2 linked regions of the Rattus norvegicus genome follow. Each later gene encodes a partner of the first gene's protein in a complex. Links are inferred from orthologs where the notes say so. Each region holds a gene or a part of one and is shown in the gene's direction. Other genes may lie near its edges.

Region 1 (10,211 bases):
CCTTGATCCCAAATGGTGGGAGACGAGAACCAATACCTGAAGTTATTCTCTGATCCCCACATAATCTCACACAATATTTAAAAATGTTTTAAAAATCTGTTTTAAGGGTCAGGCATGGAAGGTGCCCTTGACCTATACTCTGGAGGCAGAGGAGTGTGGATCATTGCTACGAGTTCAAGGCCAGCCCGGTCTACACAGTGATACCTTGCTTTCTTTTGTTTTTTAAAGCTTACTGAAGGACTGGACATGGAGGCTCATGCCTCTAATCCCAAACCTTGAGGAGCGGTTGGATTTCTGTGAGTTAGAGGCCAGCCTGGTCTAAAGAGCCAGTTCCCGGACAGCCAGGAGTTAGACTCTGTCTCCAAAACAAAACAGTCAAAAGCCAACCGTGCAAGCCATAGGTTGTAGTCAGTAGGCAGCACTCCTCCATGGCCTCTGCTTCACGCGCTAAGTTCCTGCCCTGACTTCAGTACAGGACTATAAACTGTAAGATAAAGCGAGCCCCTTTCTCCCTACGTGGCTTTCGGTCATGGTATTTATCACAGCGATAGAAACCTAAGACAGCACGCCCAGTATGCACTGGGGCTCCAGTGTTTGCCGTCATTCAAACACTGGGGAGGTAGAGGCAGGAGGATTGGTAGCTTGAAGTCATCCTCAGCTACCTAGCGAGTTTGGGGCCAGCCAAAGCTACACAAGACTCTGCTCCCCAGAAAAAGAGCGACACCATTTATTTAGTGGGTTTTTACTGTGTAGTGCAAGCAGCCTTTGGAGGCTCACTGCTGCTACCTCAACTGATGACGGGCATATGCAGCCCCCCCCCTCCACTACACAGCCTTCTAACAGTCACACCTTTGCATACAATTTGTCATAAGTTGTACTACTAGGTTCCAAGGAAAAAAATCCTATTAGTGCTTTATTTTTGTAACCTTTAAAAACTGCCTGGCCAGTTTTCTTTTTATTTTGTTACAAACAGGGGATTGCTCTGTAACCCAGGCTGGCCTCAGTCTTGAGAGAACACTCCTGTCTCAGCCGGGTGTGTGGCCCCGTGGGTCACTTTCCTAAAAACCCGCTTTGCAGCTGGCATTCTTTCCTTGGTTCCCCAACCTCCTTCCTTCTCTGACTGACTGTTCTACTCTGCCCTCTAGTGGCTACTGAGAGAAGCTTTCTCACAAGAAAACACAGTAAGGTACCTCAGAAAATCTTAAAGTGACTTTGTTCTCCAGCGTGGAGGACAGAGACCTCAAACTAACTCTTTTTTTTTTTCTTTTTCTTTTTTTCGGAGCTGGGGACCGAACCCAGGGCCTTGCGTTTGCTAGGCAAGCGCTCTACCACTGAGCTAAATCCCCAACCCCTCAAACTAACTCTTTAGTCTGTTTGTCTGTTTGTCACTTGAGTCACGACTCCACTCTGTTTCATCATGCCCAGCTGAGTTCAAACTCTTAGATTTTCTGCCTCTACCTCCCTAGCATTGGAATTGACCATTTTGTTTATTGCATCCTTAGAGAGAATGACAGTAAATGCCAAATGTAAGTTGATTATCCAACCTGCTTTTACAGCCATACCACCCATCCTTAGATGGTGCCTGACCTCTTCTGATTCCATTACACTTTCGTGTTGGCGTTCTTGGTCCTGAGGGTCCACTGAAGAAAGAGAACCACTTGAGGATGAATTAAGGCCTTTCTGGGCGCAGGGAAATCCAGTCTCTATGGACTGAATCTTGAACATCCTCACAAGATTTCTTCAAGGTCTTAGTGCTTCTAGAAAACAGCTATTCACGCTGGTGTTTACCCTAGACGCCATGATTCTACAAGAACTTCACTCCAATTCAGTGTGTGAGAACACACCACGGCATACGTGTGGGCTCAGAGAACAACTTGCTAGAGTCAGTTCTCTCCTTCTCCCAGATGGGTCCTGGGGTTGAACTCACGGCAACAGGCTCATGGAAAGCACCTTCACCCACTGAGTCATTGGCCAGCCCAAGATACAAGTTCTAAGTGCCGGGAGTATTGGCCATTACACACGGAGCTTGGAATGGGTGTCCCTGGAGGCAGAGAATCTGTTATAGTCTTCATTTACTTGATAAGAGCTTCACATGGGAGATAGTTTAAGGTGGCAGGAATAGAACTTACGACATGCTTTTGCAGCTAAGGAGGTATTGGGACCTAGGTAAAATATTTTAAGGCCTAGATAAAATGTTAGGGCCTAGGTGACTGTTACCTGGGTAGCCTACCATTATAAGGAAACTTTCCCATGTCTCTGCTGTTACTAAGAAACTTTCTAATGCCGAGATTGATTACGTATTCTGTTATGCTCTGTGCCCTTGGAAATCAATCATGATAGAAGTCAGTAGAACGGTTTTGTATCATGACCCACAATAAGCCTGGACCCGAATCGGCCACCCAGCAGCACTTCCTGAACCATACATAAGTTTCTATGGCACTTGCCTTTGTAAGCTGCCCCTGGGATGGACCCCAACATAAGAGAGACACCTGCACCAGTGTAAGAAACTATTTGGAACAAGACTTCCATTTTGAGTAGGAGTTGAGTAAAGATTACATTCCCAAGACCTTCCTGGGAACTGACAACCTCAGAGAGCAAAAAGAGACATGAGCATGGATAACTGACATCCTGGTTGGCAAGTTTTTTTTTTAATTAAAAGATTTATTTATTTATTATATATAAGTACACTGCAGCTGTCTTCAGACACACCAGAAGAGGGCATCTGATATCATTACAGATGGTTGTGAGCCACCATGTGGTTGCTGGGATTTGAACTCAGGACCTCAGGAAGAGCAGTCAGCGCTCTTAACCACTGAGCCATCTCTCCAGCCCCCTGGCTGGCAAGTTAAGACTTGAATGTTAGACAAGGCAAGTCCCCTGCCACAGTTGAATACCCCAACCATTGGGAGCAGGGTAAGTGTACAACAAAGACATGATCCCAAGGAAATCTGCCTATCCCTAAATCCTGATTGGTGAAATAACTTGGCACAGATGTTTGTGGATTTGGGGCTTAACAACCCTGCAGGATCTTAGCTTGGGGTTCAGTCCCTGAATCTGGAGTGTGACCTTGGTCAACCAGTCCTGGGATGTACGCTAAATAAACTGTCCGTGTCTGTCAGAGATTGGTGTTCATGTGGTTTGTGAAGCGATTCATTGACCCCAACAGGAGGCCAAGACTGCGGGCCTGAGCTGCAGGACCCACATAGTGGAAGGAGAGGCCTCCTGCAAAGTGTCCCCTGACCTCCACACGTGTACTGTGCATAAGGGTTTGTGAGTGCACAAGCACGGTGTCTTCAAACACAGTACAAACACACACGCAAGTTTGCATGATAAAACCTAGCATGCGTCACAGAAAAGGAAGCACAGGAGACCAGGTGGTCTGAGTCTATATCTTCTTCAACAAACCAGAGTCCTGGTATCATCCAAACAACACAAATCAAGGGCATTCTTTTTTTTTTTTTTTTTTTTGGTTCTTTTTTTTTTTTTTTAAGGGCATTCTTGATACATGTGCTTTTCCCCCAGGCTTGTTGGTATAATGCCAGTTATTTGTCAATTGCTTGCATTCGGGAGTTCAGGGGCAAGCCTGGGGAACAAAGTAAGGGTTTTAGTTTTGGATACAGAGTCTCATGTAGCACAGGCTAGCCTGGAATCCAAAAAGTAGCTGAAATGGCCTTCAACTCATGATTTTCCAGCTTCCACCTCTAACACTGGGTGATAATTAAAACTAATTCTCCAAGAGGAGGGAGAGAACGAATCAGTTTCCAGTGTGGTGGTTTCATGTTCGTATTCCCGGCACTTGCTAGAATGAGGTGGAAAGATTCAAGGCTAGCTGGGGTACATACACCACAAGGTTCAGGACAGCCTCGTATTCAAGGCCACCCTGGGAATGATGTTCATGAGCGTTTTGGAGTTGAGACAGAAGGATTGTGGGGAGTTACTGATTATCCTAGCTATAGAGTGAGACACTGACATCTAGTTCCATCAGCCTAAAGAGGGAGTAAAAAGTTTAAAACGCTCTTAGAAGCTCTTTTCTAGACCCCCTTTCCAGGTTGGATGCCAGCGCTTTGCGGCACGCAAAACATGCATGTCCACATTTGTCCACAGGGAGGCGCTGTGGTCACCGCGGTCTGGCCGCTCTAGGCAGCGGCCACAGCACCGGAAGCCTCTTCTACACGGGCTTCCGGTCTTTACCCGGGCTGAGAGCTGCGTGGAGTAGGACTTCGAGATGCCGACTGGCGACTTTGAGTAAGTGTTCGGTGGCGGTGGGGGTCGCCAGAGAGGCCGAGTGGGGGCAGCTCTGGGGTGTATGGTGGTCCAGGTAGCGCGGGGCCCGGGACCCGCTCACCGATCTCCTGTCCCCGCAGCTCGAAGCCCAGCTGGGCCGACCAGGTGGAAGAGGAGGGAGAGGACGGTGAGTGCTTGTGCGCGGCCCCGCCCGCTGCGAGACCCGGATGCCCACGCACAGGCTAGGGCCGCTTGTGGCCAGTCCCACCCTCGCTTTGCGCTCTGCCCCTGGAGCGGTCCCCCACCCCAACCCCCGCCATTGGCTTGAAAGTTCCAGCGCTGTGGCTCACTTACCTTCCTCCCCGAATTCCCTCCGGCAGACAAGTGTGTCACCAGCGAGCTCCTGAAAGGAATCCCTCTGCCCACCGGTGACACCAGTCCAGAGCCGGAGTTACTTCCTGGAGGTGAGCACCGTCCATCCCTGCCTTCTTCTCCCTTCTCCCTTCCGATTCTCAAGCCTACTTTCCAGCCAGTCCCATTACCCAGGAGTTAGTTTCTGTGATCTTCCTCCAGACCCACTGCCACCTCCCAAGGAAGTCATCAATGGGAACATAAAGACGGTGACTGAGTACAAGGTAGAGGAAGATGGGAAGAAGTTCAAGGTAAGGGTGAGGTGGGCATATGTGGTCAGCGTGACTTGTTCAGGGGCTCTTAGATCGGTGGTGAAGAGTGTCAGTGTTGCTTTGGATGGCTGAGGCAGGCCTGAGACTCGGGAAGCACTCCTAACTCTTTCCCACCTTCAGATTGTCAGAACCTTCAGAATTGAGACCCGGAAGGCATCAAAGGCTGTGGCCAGGAGGAAGGTGAGAGTGTACTTATTTGGGGGATGGGGGTGTTCCCCAGGACTGACCAGAGGACTTAGGAAGCCCCTTTTTGTTGATGTAGAATAAAAGTTTAGTGTTAGGCCTTGAAAGTTTAGGACCCAGGAGTAGATGAAGTTAAGATTTTTTTTTCTTCTCCTTTTGTGCGCAGGTGTGCGCACTTTTGGTTTGAGATGGTCTCTTTATATTAGAAACTAGACTGGGCTTGCTGTTCCCACATAAGTACATGCCTCTGATCTCAGATCTTCATTGGGATCAACTCTGATGGGCACTTCTGTGACAAATACTGTACTGAGACATATCCAGCCCTCTTGGTTTTTCTGTTTGTAGTTTGTCTGTTTTTTCCAGACAGGGTTTCTCTGTAGCTCTAGCTGTTCTGAACTCTCTGTAGACCAGGCTGACCATGAACTCAGAGGTCCACCTGCCTTTACCCCAGACTTAGGATTTAAGGCACTGCCACCACTTCCTGGCTTGTTATTTTTGAGAGACTTTAGCTCTACAGTCTTCATTCAGAATGCTTCTGCCTCCCGAGTCCCCACTTAGATTCTTCCTCCTTTGTCTACATGAAGAAGCGAGCAGCCTCTACTTACCAAGGGGGCAAGGGCGTCTAGCCGGGGCAGCACTGCCTGAGAGCAAGCACCCCTCCCCCCCAAGTCATCTAGCTCGACATGGCTTCTCAATCCCCACGCCAGTTTAGGGAGGCAGGGGGCTTTGTGGCCCCCATGTTACAGGAAGGAAATGAACCTCAGGTCTAACTAGCTCAAGGTTCCTAAGATCTGGGGATTCCTCCTTCATTCCTGATGGGAGCTGGGCTACTGACCTGCCCAGAAACTGCAGTGGCACAGTTGAGCCCCATGCTCAACTTTTTGTGTGACTTTGGGATCAAGCTCAGGTTGTTACAAGTACAACAAGTAAACTGCACCTTTTCACACTGAGCTACGGCACCAGCACCTTTTCCTTTTCTTTTTTTTTTTTTTTTTTTTTTTTTTTTTTGGTTCTTTTTTTCGGAGCTGGGGACCGAACCCAGGGCCTTGCGCTTCCTAGGTAAGCGCTCTACCACTGAGCTAAGTCCCCAGCCCCCTTTTCCTTTTCTTATGTATTTATTCATTCATTTAGATGGGGCCTCATACAGCTCAAGCTGGTTTAGAGCTTGTGTCTCAGGATGGCCTGCAGCTCAGGATCCTCCTGTTTGCACCTGGCAGATGTTGGAGTGATGTCATGTGCCGCCATGTCTATCTTAGGAAGTGGGTATTGTCACTGTTACCACACGGAAGGCCTCTAGGGAAACTAGAACATAGGAGTCAAAGCCCCGGAATGGTTGTCTGTCTGGGGTGCTGCACTGTGGGATCCTTCCTGCCTTCATCCTCACCTCCCCATCTTTTCCTGGGAGCCCAGAATTGGAAGAAGTTTGGCAACTCAGAGTTTGACCCGCCAGGGCCCAATGTAGCCACTACCACAGTCAGTGATGACGTCTCCATGACATTCATCACTAGCAAAGAGGTGAGCAGGGTGAAACTGGAACCTGAGAAACGCAGAGGGAGTGGGGTGGGTAGGACATAGCAGCCCCTTCTGAGCCATCCCTTCCCCACCAGGACCTGAACTGCCAGGAGGAGGAGGACCCAATGAACAAGCTCAAGGGCCAGAAGATCGTGTCCTGCCGCATTTGCAAGGGCGACCATTGGACCACCCGCTGCCCCTACAAGGACACACTAGGACCCATGCAGAAGGAGCTGGCTGAGCAGCTGGGCCTGTCTACCGGGGAGAAGGAGAAATTGCCAGGAGGTGTGGGCATGGGGCGCCTGGGAGGGGCCTCAGCTGTTCCTTTTGTAGTGTACTGTTTTCTTTCCCTATATCACCTAGGGACAACTTTGGGCATGGTGGTCATTCTGATGCAAGTGTGACTGATGACTTACTCTAACTTGGGTGTGCGTGTGTATATGTATGTATGCACACATACATTCAGGTGACACCCACATATGTGCTGGGCTCAGTAGACCGAAATCTAACATGTCCTGTGGGGGTAACTGCCTTCTGTGACTTGATTCTTGCTATCATGGATGTGTTGCTGAGGGACATCCTATAGTCAGGCTGCTGCCAGCTGGTATTCTCTAGCTTGTAGGGAGGGCTCTGCAAGCCCGGATCACGTCTGCCCTGCTCACCTTGTCCATGTCGTGAGTAGAGACTCTGAAGGGTTGTAGCTTCCTGGATATGATGTGGGTCACCAAAGGGTGGCTGGACGCCTGTCCCCAGGGGTGGGCTGAATATCACTTTTGTCTGCTGCTTTCCAGAACTGGAGCCTGTGCAGGCCGCCCAGAACAAGACAGGGAAGTATGTGCCTCCTAGTCTCCGGGACGGGGCAAGCCGCCGTGGGGAGTCTATGCAGCCAAACCGCAGAGGTGAGGAGGGTAGGAAAACCCAGGGAGCAGGTGGTACCTAGACACCCTGTAATTAGTCCTGCGTTGTGGGCGTGGGTCTGACTACGGCATCCTCCTCACGGCTACCTCTCCCTGCCCTGCCCACAAAGCTGATGACAATGCCACCATCCGTGTCACTAATCTGTCTGAGGACACTCGTGAGACTGACTTACAGGAACTCTTCCGGCCTTTTGGCTCCATCTCCCGAATCTACTTGGCCAAGGACAAGACCACTGGGCAGTCCAAGGTGGGTGAACGGGGCTGAGGGATGGGTAACTGGAGAGTAGGCATCCCCTGACCCACTTCTCACCACCTCCATGTCTGCCTCGGCCCACAGGGTTTTGCCTTTATCAGCTTTCACCGCCGGGAGGATGCTGCGCGTGCCATTGCAGGGGTGTCTGGCTTTGGCTACGACCATCTTATCCTCAATGTCGAGTGGGCCAAGTAAGAACCCTTCTACCTTTCCCACATTCTCCCTGGCCCTGTTATGTGGTTGCCAGGTCTGTCTGAAGGAAGGTCCTTGCCAGGCATGAAGCTACTGGTCCCAAGCAGGCAAGGCCTGGGCTTCCCTGGTATGAGGTAACCTTCAGCATCACAGGTCCCCACCTGCATCCTGACCACCTCTCTTCCTCTTCCCAGGCCTTCAACGAATTAATAAGACATCTGCTGCCTGCTGCTGTTGTCCAGATCCTCAGGGACAGAAAGCTTCCAGTAAACAGACTCCAAATACACTGTGTCCTGCTCGTTTTCATGGGTCTCCCTGTGGGGGCGAAGCTGGCCCCTCCCTCAGCCTATGGGTTTTTTTTTTTTTCGGAGCTGGGGACCGAACCCAGGGCCTTGCGCTTGCTAGGCAAGCGCTCTACCACTGAGCTAAATCCCCAACCCCAGCCTATGGTTTTATTAAAGGACCTGCCCAGGTGGGAGGCAGCTGGCACTGGTGAGGCACCAGCCTTGAGGGTAACTGGAGGACCCTTGCTTAGGATCTGTTGTCACAACATGACATGGGTGGCAGCACATGCTGGGTACCACAGCCATGTAGAGCAAGGGGTACATGCATGCGGCCAGGGGCACAAGGATGTGTATTGTCAGCCAAAGAAGGGCCCCAGCTCCTGCTCAGCCTGCGCCTTATTGGAGAAATTGGGGCAGTGAGCCAACCAGCACATCTTGGCATCCACATGGAGCACTTGTGTGATGTGGTAGGGCGCATAGGAGCAGGCATGGAGAGCCACACCATTGGCCACCAGCACTACCACACGCAGCTTCTGGGCTGTGGTTGAGCCCTGGCACCACCAGCCCCAGGACACTGTCGGTCATTGGTGTGAACAGCAGAGGCAGGAAGCCACCCAGGCCTGCCAGGATCACACTGTAGGCTCTGAAGGCCTCTGGCTGTCCGTCCCCCATTTCTAGGTACTTGACAGAGGCATTGAGATTGTTGTTGCTGCTGCCCCACGTCTGTTGGGCTGTCTCTGGTAGGAGAAAGCGTGGGGGGCAGCACTCAGGATGGCCATGACCCAGCTGACAGCACCGATAGCCCAGGTGCTTGGGTTGCAGGTGACAGGTGTCTGTGTAAAGAAGGGGTGCACAACCACCTTGTATTGGCTGAAACCGAGGCAAGCAGAGGATGCTGCTGCTGAGCAGGTTGCAGGCCCATAGCCATCCCCAAGCTCCAGTTTTCAGGCGGGTGGCAGTAGGCAGCCAGAGAGGCAGTGTTCGTGCATAGAACATGTTGCTGACTGCTGGCTGCACAGAGAAGGCCTCTGTACTTGGGTGATAAACTTGCCCACTGTGGCCAAGAGGAGCTCTGCAATCAGGATGAGCCAGAGGAAGTCCTGAAGACGGATGTACTTGCCAGTAGCTCCCAAGTACTTCTGTGGGCTGGACAAGCTCCCTGTGAGCAGAGTACCTGACTGAGCCACCCGCCTCAGGCCTACTCCTCCTTTTCCATACACCAGTTCCTACAAGTGACACACAGCCTGGTAGACCCCTTACTGACCAGACCAACCTACCTTTAGGTGGGATGGACCAGGGCCACACTGATTTGGAAACAAGGCTGGGTAGGCATAGGACTCTGTACTGAGACTACAGAAGCTTGCAGTTGTGAACTTCAGAGCACTCCCCTTCTGAAGTTGCTAGGTTCCCCCCAAACCACTGGAGGGTACCTAGTACCAGTGAGGAGGTATCCACTTTGTAGCCTTACCACTCCAAACAACCCCACCCCCAACTTACAAACTCTGGTAGCACCCTCCCACCACTCCCTTAATGTCCTGAGTGGGATATAATTAGCCCCATAGAACACACGTCCCACTTCAATGAGCTGAGTGCTGGCTAATCTTCCCAGCAGCTTCTGGCTATCCAAGGTCCCATCTGGGTTCCCAGCAGGCCGGTAATGAGCCAGTCTCTACCTGCACAGCCAGAGTAACCCTCCCACCCAGCCTGCTTCCTCCTCGTACTATCCAGGCTGGGCCTGTCTCAGTTTAGTAGCTGTCCCCACCCCAGCCAGAGAGAAAGCTCAATGTGTCATGTTCAGGTTTATTGGAGGTAACTGGGCAGTTCCTTTATGAAAGGAAACCGGAGTGCACTGGGGCCCAGGGCAGCTTCCGGGCCCCAATCTGGGGCATCCACACATGGTCCACCCACTGACAGGCAGGTTCAGGGTCCTTTCCTTGATGGTGGACCCAAGTCACGGGACCTG
Region 2 (10,279 bases), on another chromosome or scaffold:
ACAACCATCTGTAATGGGATCTGATGCCCTCTTCTGGTGTGTCTGAAAAGAGGGACAGTGTACTTAAATAATAATAAATAAATAAATCTTAAAAAAAAAGGAAGGAAAAAACATATAACGTAAGGTGTTAATACACTAGTAATTGTAAGAAAAAACAGAACCAGAAACAACAACAGGAAATATGTGTGGGAAGGGCATGACATTTTACACATGCTGGTCAGCAAGGCTACCATAAGAAGTGGAGGCGGGGGTGAGCTGGGTCCGACTATGCAGGAGAAAAGGAGGAAGACCAGAAGGCAGCAGGTAATGGTCGGTCAGTAGCTTCTCCCTAGAGGACTATGGGAGACGAGCCTCTGCAATGTGAGGGCAGAGAAGATGAGCAATGGTAGGGATACAGAGACAGACAGACAGACTGACAGACAGACTGACTGACTGACTGACCAAGCGTCAGAGCAGAGGAGGAGATAAGCAGAGAGCAAATGCAGGGAGATAGACATATTTTGGAAGACGAGCAGGGTTAGTGAAGAAGGAACAAGAGAAAGATGGGACAGAAGGTGTCAGGCAGACAACGGGGCTTACACGATAGTTGGGTGAGTCACTTCCTGCCTATTGGCCTCAGTTTCCCGTTCTGGGGGAGGTTTTGTGTTGCCCGGATGGAAGCTGGGACCTCGAGCCATCCTACCAGGCAAGCATTCTGCCACCGAGCTATAGCGAGACCTTTTCAGACATTTGAAATTTTGGGCTAGGGGGAGTTAGACAGAATAAGAGATGTGAGTACCAGAACTTCAGACAAGGCTGAGGTGTAGGGCCTGGTTGCAGTTGATTGGTCGTTCTAGCTACTGAAAGGCTAAGGCAGTGAGATCGTAAGTTCAAGGCCAGCCTGGGTAGCTTGTTGAGACTGTCACAAAATAATAAGTAAAAAGAGGGCTGGGGAGCGTCTAGAGAAATTGAAGGGATGTGTTAATAATACATTGTATACCTATAATGTTTTTAAAAATAGATAAATTAATTTAAGTTTAAATTAAACCCCCAAAGAATAAATTAATTAACTTAAAAATGGGGGTAGGTATCAGGGATATAGTTCAGAGTGCTTGACTAGCAAACATAAGACTCTAAGTTCAAAACACACTACTATAGCAAAAAAAAAAAAAAGCGTGTGTGTGTGTGTGTGTGTGTGTGTGTGTGTGTGTGTGTGAGAGAGAGAGAGAGAGAGAGACAGACAGACAGACAGACTCAGGAGGGATGAGAGACCTATGTAACTCATATTCCCCTGAAAGGTGGACCACAGGCTAACAGGCTAGACCCAGAAATTCATTGATTGCCTGCCCAAAAATCTGAGCGACTAATCTGAGTTAGAGAATGCAGACATAGGCCTGGTATGCTATCACATGCCTTGAATCTCAACACCAGGGGTGGCAGAAGTAGGCAGAACTCTGTAAGCTGGAGACAAGTCAGAACTATATAGTGAGAAGCCCTTCTCAAAAAAGAGGAAAGAAAGGAAGAAGGGAAGAAAGAAAGAAAGAAAGAAAGAAAGAAAGAAAGAAAGAAAGAAAACACAAAAATGCCACAACCCAGGAATAATTTTTGGCAAGAAAACCTAGACATCCAGGCAAAGACAGAGACATGGAAGTGGAAGGGATTATTGCCTGGGAAAAGACAGGCAAGACCCACAGGGGCTGGAGGGTAGGGTCATCACAGGGTCCCCAGCATCCTCCAAGTGGATGGGCCCAGGGTAAGATGTGGGCCAGGAAGGCAGCTCCCAGGATACAAGCACAGAGAGAGGGGAGAGGTAGACTGGTGGTAGAAAGGGGCCTATGTCCGTTTGTCTTTCTAACCTTGGTAGATGTCCTGGAGGGAACCGGCTCCACAAAATTCCATGCAGATCCATAGCTTCTGAAGCCTATAGGGAGTCAAGAAGGCAGGGATTACCATGGTATGAGACCTCCCAGGGCTATCTCACTCCCCCTGCCCACCAGAGAGTGTCCTGTTCCCATGGCAGAGGAGGTTGAGGATAGACCAGGAAGTGTGCGTTTCAGAGCAATTTGACTGAAACCTAGGTCTTTGGGTTCCAATCCAAGGGCACCCCACTGCCATACCAGAGTAATTTAGGGGACAGGGCAGAGGACTCATGGAGAAGCAGACAAGACAAAGAGTCCCGGGTTAAAGGGACGGATGTCATAATTGGGGCAGCCGAGATACTACCTTGGGAGCCAAAGAATTGGAGGGTGCATATTAAAGAAGCAGAGTAAAAATGGACGAGGCAGGGAGCAGGCCAATGGGAGATTTGATTACAACAACAACGAAGAAGGTTCTAGATTAGCCCTTAAATTGTTGGGTACTCAGTAAGAAAGGCAGAATTTCAGATTGGGAATCAGACTGGGATGCCCCAAATAAAAGTGAAAGTCCTCAGGTTGGAGGTCAAGTTAGGGTATCTGGGTCACAAATGGTAGTTTAGTACTGAGGACCCAGTTACCGGTGCCTGGTCAGAAATAAGGGGTTGGGGCTGGGGTTGGGGGATGGGTTAAGACATCACCAGAGGTAACTGCCATGGTAAGCCACGATGTTGGCGTGCCGGCAAGATTTCAGCATGAGAATCTCCTTCTGAAGGGTAGAGACGTCATCATCTGTGAGGAGGGGCCGGAGAGAAAAAGTGGCTCCAAGCAGGGGCTTACAGAAGTGTTCCCCATAGCCCAGGAAGTATAAGGGCAGGGATGGGGAAGAAGTTTCTGGGGCCGCTCTCACCAGGCTCCATCTTCACCATCTTCAAAGCCACTAGGTCCTTAGACACCTTGTCGCGAGCCTTGTAAAGGGGAAGTTGGCCATCAGGCAGGCACCATAGCTTGCCATCCCCAGCATCTCTGAACCAAGGCCAAAGCCTGGCATTCCTTTACAGTCCTGTTTGTCGGCCTCACCCAGCTCTCCCAGGTTTGATGGTGGAGGAGACAGAAGGGCTTTCTCACCTTGAACACTTCTCCATACGTTCCACCACCCAGTCGCTGCAGTAGATCATAGTGTTCTCGAGGGTCCTTATTAAAGATGTCAGGGTCCACAAGGGCCATCCCTGGAGGCCGGGGCTGGGCCAGTGCCCAGTGGGCCAACAGGGCCTCAGGGCTCAAGCTTTGGTATTACCCTCTGTCTCCACAAGTCCTGGGCCCGCCTTGACTCTGTGGGCTGTGGCCTTCCCCCTCCCCACTCTCGCTTCCTGCCCCAGCTGCAGGGCTGTGCAGAGGGCTCCGCAGAGGGCTCCACCCCCGTCCCCTGGGTTCTGAGAGTTTGATCGCCTTGGGACTGATGGGACTCCCCTTTACTCCCTGAAGGACACTATGTAAATAAGATGCAAAAGTTCTTAAATGCAACCTTGGGCTGACCTAGCTCCCTCTCCCCAACACTCTCCTATTTTGGGAGGAGTCACAGGTTACAGTTGAACCTCTGCTGAGTACTTGAAGATTTGGAGTCAAGCCAGAGGTCGCAGGTCTGCACAAAGCTGGATGAGTAGCAGAGGACTGTTTACTCGTGACACATGCGTGTGACCTAAGTGACAGCTGGGCTCAGGGCACCTGCCCACATGGCACATGTCTCTGCATCGCTTCAAAAGTGTACGGAATCTGTGGCAGACGTGGAACACTTGTTAGCAGTCCCTACGCGGAGCCTGATTGAGACTCCATTGTACCACGGTAGTCCCTCCGGGTGCTGGTATCATTTGCCTTCCCAGCTTCCTAGCAGAGAGCACTGTAGCATCACGGAATGCGAGTGGGGACAAGGGTTTGGAACTTAACGAGGAAGTGAGGATACGGGATGCTATCTTAGGCACCCAAGTCGGAGACAAGAAGGGCTTCAGAGAGCATCTCCCACCCGACTAAACGCAAAGAAAAGAATGGACGCCTTCAAGCGGCTATAGGGATTTATGGCTACGCATGCGTGCAGAGAACTATGTCTCCTTTTCCCGTACAACTCCAGCGCACGCGCATCGGAAGCTTAAGGTTCGTGCGGCCCGGGAAAAGCTTAGCCCGCCTCCTGGCGCCTGCGTAGTAAGGCAGACTATACCTTTCTCACGGTATTGGTCTCTTTTAGGTGTGACCAATGCGCATGCGCAAATTACAACTGCTAGCAGGAAATCATGTGGTAGCAAAAAAAAAAAAAAACCGGCGCGGCTGCCGGAAGCGCCTTTCCCTATGCCTTCCTTGTAGGAACTAGAGAGAGGGTGTGACGTAATTCCGCTTCCACCACGTTTCTTTTTCTTCCGGTCCTTGAGTACTTAGTACCGTAACTGGTGTTCGACTCCAGCTGGGGCTGCAGAAGGCGACAGTGGTCATGGCGATGTTTGAGCAGATGAGAGCAAACGTGGGCAAGTTGCTCAAGGGTATCGACAGGTCTGAGCTCGGCTGGAGGGCGCGCTCTGATCAAGCGGGGTGGAGAAGACGGGAAGCCAGCCCTGGGTGGCTAGGGCTTCACGCTCTTCCAGAGGCGGAGTTTTTCCAAGTTTAGCTTTGTCCCTCAACTTTACCTTTTCTGCTGCCACAGACTCTCGATGTTTCTTAGTTTCTTCCTCCTCTGTCCTTCTTGTGGGCCATCCTACATAATGTTCACTGATTTCTATTTGGCCAGTGGGAACCGGAGGTGATGGAAACAGCCACAGGTCCTGCGTTCCTGGACCTAGGTTCCCATTCCATCCCGGCGACAACCCCTTTTAACAGATAGTGACAGTAAGGAGAGATCAGGGCCTGGCCAGGGCAAGCCACGTATTGACCTAGGCAGGAGAGAGTGGAACTGGGTCAGAACGGAATCCAAGAGAAGGTATTCAGGAACACATAGGGGCTGCAGAGACTGGCTGCGGTTGGAGGCATCTTAGACACGACCCGGGGCTCAAGTAGGGCTAACCAGAGGTCCATGTTGTGAACAAGACTTACTGGAGGTAGTACAGTTGATCAGCTATCTAGGTAGTTTCAGTGGATGGGACTAAATTATTTAAGATCGAATGAATGTAGCTTTATTAAAAAGAATAATAAAGAAAGGAATACCACATGGCTAGAATCAAAGCTGCCGGAAGGAAGAGAGTGAGTTCAGGTTAACAAATTACAGTGGTCCCTAAGTCCTATAATGGGACTGGCCTCTGTTGTTCTCTTCTGTTTACCCATGTCTGTCTGTCTAGTTATCTTCCTTTTTTGAGACAGGTTTTCACTATAAATCCCAGACTAGCTTCAAACTTGCAATCCTCCTGTCCTACCTCAGCCTCCTAGGTACTGGGATGAATGGCATGTATCCACCATGCCAGGGTACTCACCCATCTTAACACCCTACCAGGTACAATCCCGAGAACTTGGCTACCTTGGAGCGGTATGTGGAGACACAGGCCAAGGAGAATGCCTATGATCTAGAAGCCAACCTGGCCGTCCTGAAACTGTGAGTGTCTGTCCCCACCCTCATGCCAGGAGCTAGCTAGCAGAAAGCCACTCTGGATAGGGAACCTGGTGCAGAGGTGCCTGGGGCAAGCTGCAGGGTGTGACTTCTCTTTGTGTGTAAACTAAGGGTCTGAGTGGGGTTGTTTTGTTTTGTTTTGTTTTTAATCCATTCCAAAAACATACAGGGTAATAAACGATTCTCTGTTTCTTGACAGATTATTGTAAATGAACATCCATTTTGTTAGTTCCGCTGGCCCTCAGCTCATGTGCTTTACCCCATCACATCCCTGGCTTAGGTAAACCACTGTTGAGCCCTTATGGCCCAGCCTTGGGTCCAGATCAGCTTAGGTCAGGTCTGTTTGCTTTGAGCTCTGCTGTAATCACATAGCTCAAGCTCTTCCGCACCATGCATCTTCCTCTGGGTTGGAGGCAGCCTTCTTCCATTTTTTTTCTTTACCCATATTCATGAGTGTGTGTGTGTGTGTGTGTGTGTGTGTGTGTGTGTGTGTGTGTGTGTGTAGGGGCTGTGTGTGCACACATGCATGTGGCTTGAGGTTGATATCAACCAGTCATCTTCAATCATTCTTCCACTTTATTCAGAGTCAGAGCCCAGAATTCACCAACACAGCTTGTCTGGCTAACCAGCTTGCTCTTGGCATCCCTGTGGTAACATCTTCAGAGACTGGAGTGCCAGGCAGGCTGCCGTGCCTACCTGGCATAAACATTTTATTATTTTTTAAAGATTTATTTATTATATACAAGTACACTGTCGCTGCCTTCAGACACACCAGAAGAGGGCATTCGATCCCATTACAGATGGTTGTGAGCCACCATGTTGTTGCTGGGATTTGAACTCAGGACCTCTGGAAGAACAGCCAGTGCTCCTAACCTCTGAGCCAACTCTCCAGCCCTATTTTATTCTTTTAAATTCATTTTGTTTTATGAGTGTGAGGGCAAGGGTGGCGGTCCAAGGACAACCTGAAGTGGTCAATCTTGCTTTCCACCGGTTTGTTTTGCTGAGTCCTGGCACTCCTGCTATAGACCAGGGTGGCCTTGGGACTAAGGACACCATGTCCGGCACTTTCCACCTTTCTGATTTCTGCTTCTGAATGCTGATTGGCCTGCACACTTCTAGAAGATTCTGTTTCTCGTCTCCCCATGGCAGCACTGGGGCAAACTCACTGAATCCTGTTTTATGAGTCCAGATTTAGCTTAGATCAGTGAGTTTACACCGTAAGTGTTTATACTGACTAAGCCATCTCTGGTCCTTTTTCTTGTTTTCTTAATTTATTTGCTTATTTTTAGCCAGGGTCCTGTAGCTGTCAGTGGCTTTGAACTTGCTATCAAGATGACATTGAACTCCTCCTCCCAAGTGCTGTCATGATGAACACGTGCCATCATCCGGCTTGCGTTCTCTGAGACCCACCCAGCACTTTACTGTAGAGCTCAGGCTGACCTCGAACTCCTGGGGCTCCTGTGCCTCAGACTTTCGAGTACACGCATCATGTGCTACCACACCCGGATGCCTCCCGTGCTTGCTTTTTTTTTTTTTTTTTTTCCTTTTTTTCGGAGCTGGGGACCGAACCCAGGGCCTTGCGCTTGCTAGGCAAGCGCTCTACCACTGAACTAAATTCCCAACCCCCCTCCGGTGCTTTCTTGACACACCACCTGCTGTATAGCTTGGTGTGTTTCGGTGTCTTGTTTTTGAATCAGGGTCTCTCGCTGTGTGGTTGTTGGCTGTGGAATTTGCTATGCAGACCAGTCTGGCCTTGAACTCACAGTGGTCCACCTGCCTCTGCTTCTGCCATTTGTAGGCACCAGTTTGTGTAGCCTTAGCTTTCACATCTGTAAAATGGGGTTAACATATTTGCTGGAGATGATGGCTGCACCTTGAGTGTTCATTGTGTGGTAGCCTCCCCTCTTACAGGATGGGGCGGGGGCTGCACAGAGGCAGCCTGGCTCAGAGTGGGAATGCCCACTCCAGAAGTCTGCTTCTCACTGTATCTGGTGTCTAGAGCAGGGAAGTGCACTGGAGAAATTAAGGTTGCATAGAAAAGACAGTGGGTGTTGGGGCTCACACATTCCTAGCAGGGTCTAGCGTGTAGCAAGGGGCATATACAGGCTATCATTTTACCCATTTGTATAAAAGCAGCCCAGATGACCCTCAAACTTGTAACCAGCCTGGGTCCTAAGGTTGCAGTCTCGTACCACTACAGCCAGCTTTGCAAGACACCACAGCTGCTATGTCTCTTACTGTCCTCAGGTACCAGTTCAACCCAGCCTTCTTCCAGACCACAGTCACTGCCCAGATTCTGCTGAAAGCCCTCACCAACCTGCCCCACACCGACTTCACTCTGTGTAAATGTATGATCGACCAGGCACATGTATCCTTGCAGCAGCATGCGAAGGCTGGGAAGCAGGGCGGGTAGAGGGCTCTGTGCATGCCCTGAGTGCTGGGCCAGTCCCTGGATGCTGCATGGTGCTCCCATGTCTGGGAGTACACGTGGAGGTCAAAGGACAACTTGGAGTAACAGTTCTCCCCTTCCTCCTGTGGGTACCAGGGATTCAGGTCCTTAGGCTTACGCTGCGGTTTTACCTGCTGGGCCATCTTGTTACCTCAGAGTTTTTCTTTCTTTTCATGTATTTTGAGAAAGGGTCTTGCTCTATCACCCTAGCTGGCCTGGAACTTGCTGTGTAGGCCGTGCTGTGCTTGAACTCACAGAGATCAGCTGCCTCTGTCTCCCAAGTGGTGGGTATTTTTTGTGGTGCTGAGGATGGAACCCAAGCCCTCACACGTAGGAGGCAAGTACTCAGGCACTGTGCTGCTGAACTGCACCCCCAGTCGTAGTTCCCAGTTCTTTTGGGGGGCTGGGGAGCTAGGAGATAGGAAGAGAGGGTTGAGCTAAACCTATGGCTTCCCGCACTGTTTCCTTAATGCTTCCTGATTCCAGCAAGAAGAGCGGCCCATCCGACAGATCTTGTACCTCGGGGACCTGCTGGAGACCTGCCACTTTCAAGCCTTCTGGGTAATGTCTTTAGGGTGCAGGCTGGGATGCTAGAGTACATGTCTAGCATGTGGGGAGCCCTGGGGGCCATCCCCACCCAGCACTTCCTAAGACCAGGCACACTAGTGTACACTGTAAGTCTAGAAGGTGGGGGTGGGAGAATCAGAAGCTCGGTGCCACCTCAGCTGTACAGAGTTGGGGTCAGCCTGAGCTGCATGAGAGCTGTCTCAGACAAGCAAAGGCAGTGTCAGCCAAGGTCCCAGGCTCTGTGCTCAGGGCTTCACATAGAGCCATGACTGACCCACGTGGCTGAGGCTCACCCTGTCCCCTTGTGTTGAGTCCCTAGTTAGAAGCAAACCCTCTCTTATCCATCCGAGCTCTCTGCCTTTCCAGCCTTCACATGGACAGATGCCCAGGGGAAAGCTAAGCTGGGTTGGTGGCCCTTGCCTGAGTTCCAGAGCTTAGGAGGCTGAGGATAGAGCTCCAGACCAGGGCAGTTAAGAGCAGTGGCTCAGAACCATCTGTAACTCCAGTTCTAGGGGACCCATCGTGTTCTTCTGGCCTCCATGGACATTGCCTGTCTTAGTCGGGTTTCTCTTCCTGCACAAAAAGTACATCATGACCAAGAAGCAAGTCAGCACTGGAACTCAAACAAGCCAGGAAGCAGGAGCTGATGCAGAGGCCATGGAGGGATGTTACTTACTGGCTTGCTCTCTTATAGAACCCAAGACCACCAGCCCAGGGATGGCACCACCCACAATGGGCTGGGTCCTCCCCCCTTGATCACTAATTGAGAAAATGCCTTACAGCTGGGTCTCATGGAGGCATTTCCTCAAGGGAGGCTCCTCTCTCTGTGATAACTCCAGTTTGTGTCAAGTTGACACACAAAACCAGCCAGTACACTGGCCATGCACTTGGTACACATGCAGGCAAAACACCCTGCCTTTTGTTTTGTTGTATAACAAGAACCAGAGTTTGGCTCCAGCACAGTTGCTGGGCAGCCTTTTCTGGCCACCATGGTCACCCACTCACATCTGTTCATGCTCACATGGATACGTTCACACACACATAAATATAAAATTTTTCCTTTTTAAAGGAGATTTATTATTTTATGCATGGGAGTGCTCTAGCTGCACGCACACCTATTTGCCAGAAGAGGGCATAAAATAACATAGATAGTTGAGAGCCACCTGTGGTTACTGGGAATTGAACTCAGGACCTCCTCCAAGTTAACCACTGGACCATCTTTTCAGCCCCAAATCTTGCCTTCTAAAATAAATGTTTAGAAGACAAAACACAATAGCAAAAAAAAAAAAAAAAAAAAACCTGGAGCCTGGGGAGGATGGAAGCCTGTAGGTCCCAAGCCCCATCATGCCAGGTCTGCAGTGAGCCTTTGCCTTCCTACAGAGCTTGCCAGAACCTCTGAGGCATGGTTTGAGCCCCACCCCTTCTTCATCCAAGGCAAGGCTATAGAAAAGTCAGACCATTATCTACTGAAAACATACAAAACAGAAGGTCTGACATCCCAAAAATTCATGTTCAGTGGTCAGGTCAAAGACTGTGGGTTGCCTTCCTCAGTGTCCCCTCCCCCCTGCTGACTTAGAAGCCACTCTGCTGTGTTCACTGAGGGCTCCGTGGTGCCCTCTGCCCAGCTTTCAGCATACACCATGCCATCTCCTGATATATCCCCAGTGAACTTGGCCTTCGGGTGTCGTTTCCAGTGCAGACATGGTCACGTGGCTTCCAGGACGGTCCTGGGTTTCCTCCCATCTTACTAACAGCTTCCAACGAAGTGCAGGCCCCTCCTCCTCCCACTCCCGTTGAAGATGCTTTGCTGAGAGTAGAAACCTTGGGGGTGGAGGGTGAAGGGTGAGC

What was found. The genes of interacting proteins can lie anywhere in the genome.
Region 2: Eif3g (region 1) and Eif3k share a complex: the UniProt entries of both Homo sapiens proteins name them as parts of the eukaryotic translation initiation factor 3 (eIF-3) complex. The link is inferred for Rattus norvegicus from reciprocal best matches to the Homo sapiens genes EIF3G and EIF3K.

What each region holds. Positions count from the first base shown.
Region 1 is NC_086026.1:27,703,951-27,714,161, reverse strand, and holds Eif3g (eukaryotic translation initiation factor 3 subunit G), read left to right. Parts: upstream 1-4,215; 5' UTR 4,216-4,225; coding exon 4,226-4,245; intron 4,246-4,364; coding exon 4,365-4,411; intron 4,412-4,604; coding exon 4,605-4,688; intron 4,689-4,797; coding exon 4,798-4,886; intron 4,887-5,027; coding exon 5,028-5,087; intron 5,088-6,500; coding exon 6,501-6,605; intron 6,606-6,697; coding exon 6,698-6,887; intron 6,888-7,393; coding exon 7,394-7,501; intron 7,502-7,629; coding exon 7,630-7,766; intron 7,767-7,856; coding exon 7,857-7,963; intron 7,964-8,158; coding exon 8,159-8,174; 3' UTR 8,175-8,248; downstream 8,249-10,211. Other genes in the region: Ppan (suppressor of SWI4 1 homolog), read right to left, coding at 10,169-10,211. UniProt on the Homo sapiens protein: RNA-binding component of the eukaryotic translation initiation factor 3 (eIF-3) complex, which is required for several steps in the initiation of protein synthesis.
Region 2 is NC_086019.1:93,391,454-93,401,732, reverse strand, and holds the start of Eif3k (eukaryotic translation initiation factor 3 subunit K), read left to right. Parts: upstream 1-4,245; 5' UTR 4,246-4,311; coding exon 4,312-4,370; intron 4,371-5,301; coding exon 5,302-5,400; intron 5,401-7,662; coding exon 7,663-7,783; intron 7,784-8,350; coding exon 8,351-8,425; intron 8,426-8,937; coding exon of another isoform or gene 8,938-8,943; exon of another isoform or gene 8,944-10,279. Other genes in the region: Map4k1 (mitogen-activated protein kinase kinase kinase kinase 1), read right to left, coding at 1,836-1,900, 2,534-2,624, 2,743-2,800, 2,961-3,059. UniProt on the Homo sapiens protein: Component of the eukaryotic translation initiation factor 3 (eIF-3) complex, which is required for several steps in the initiation of protein synthesis.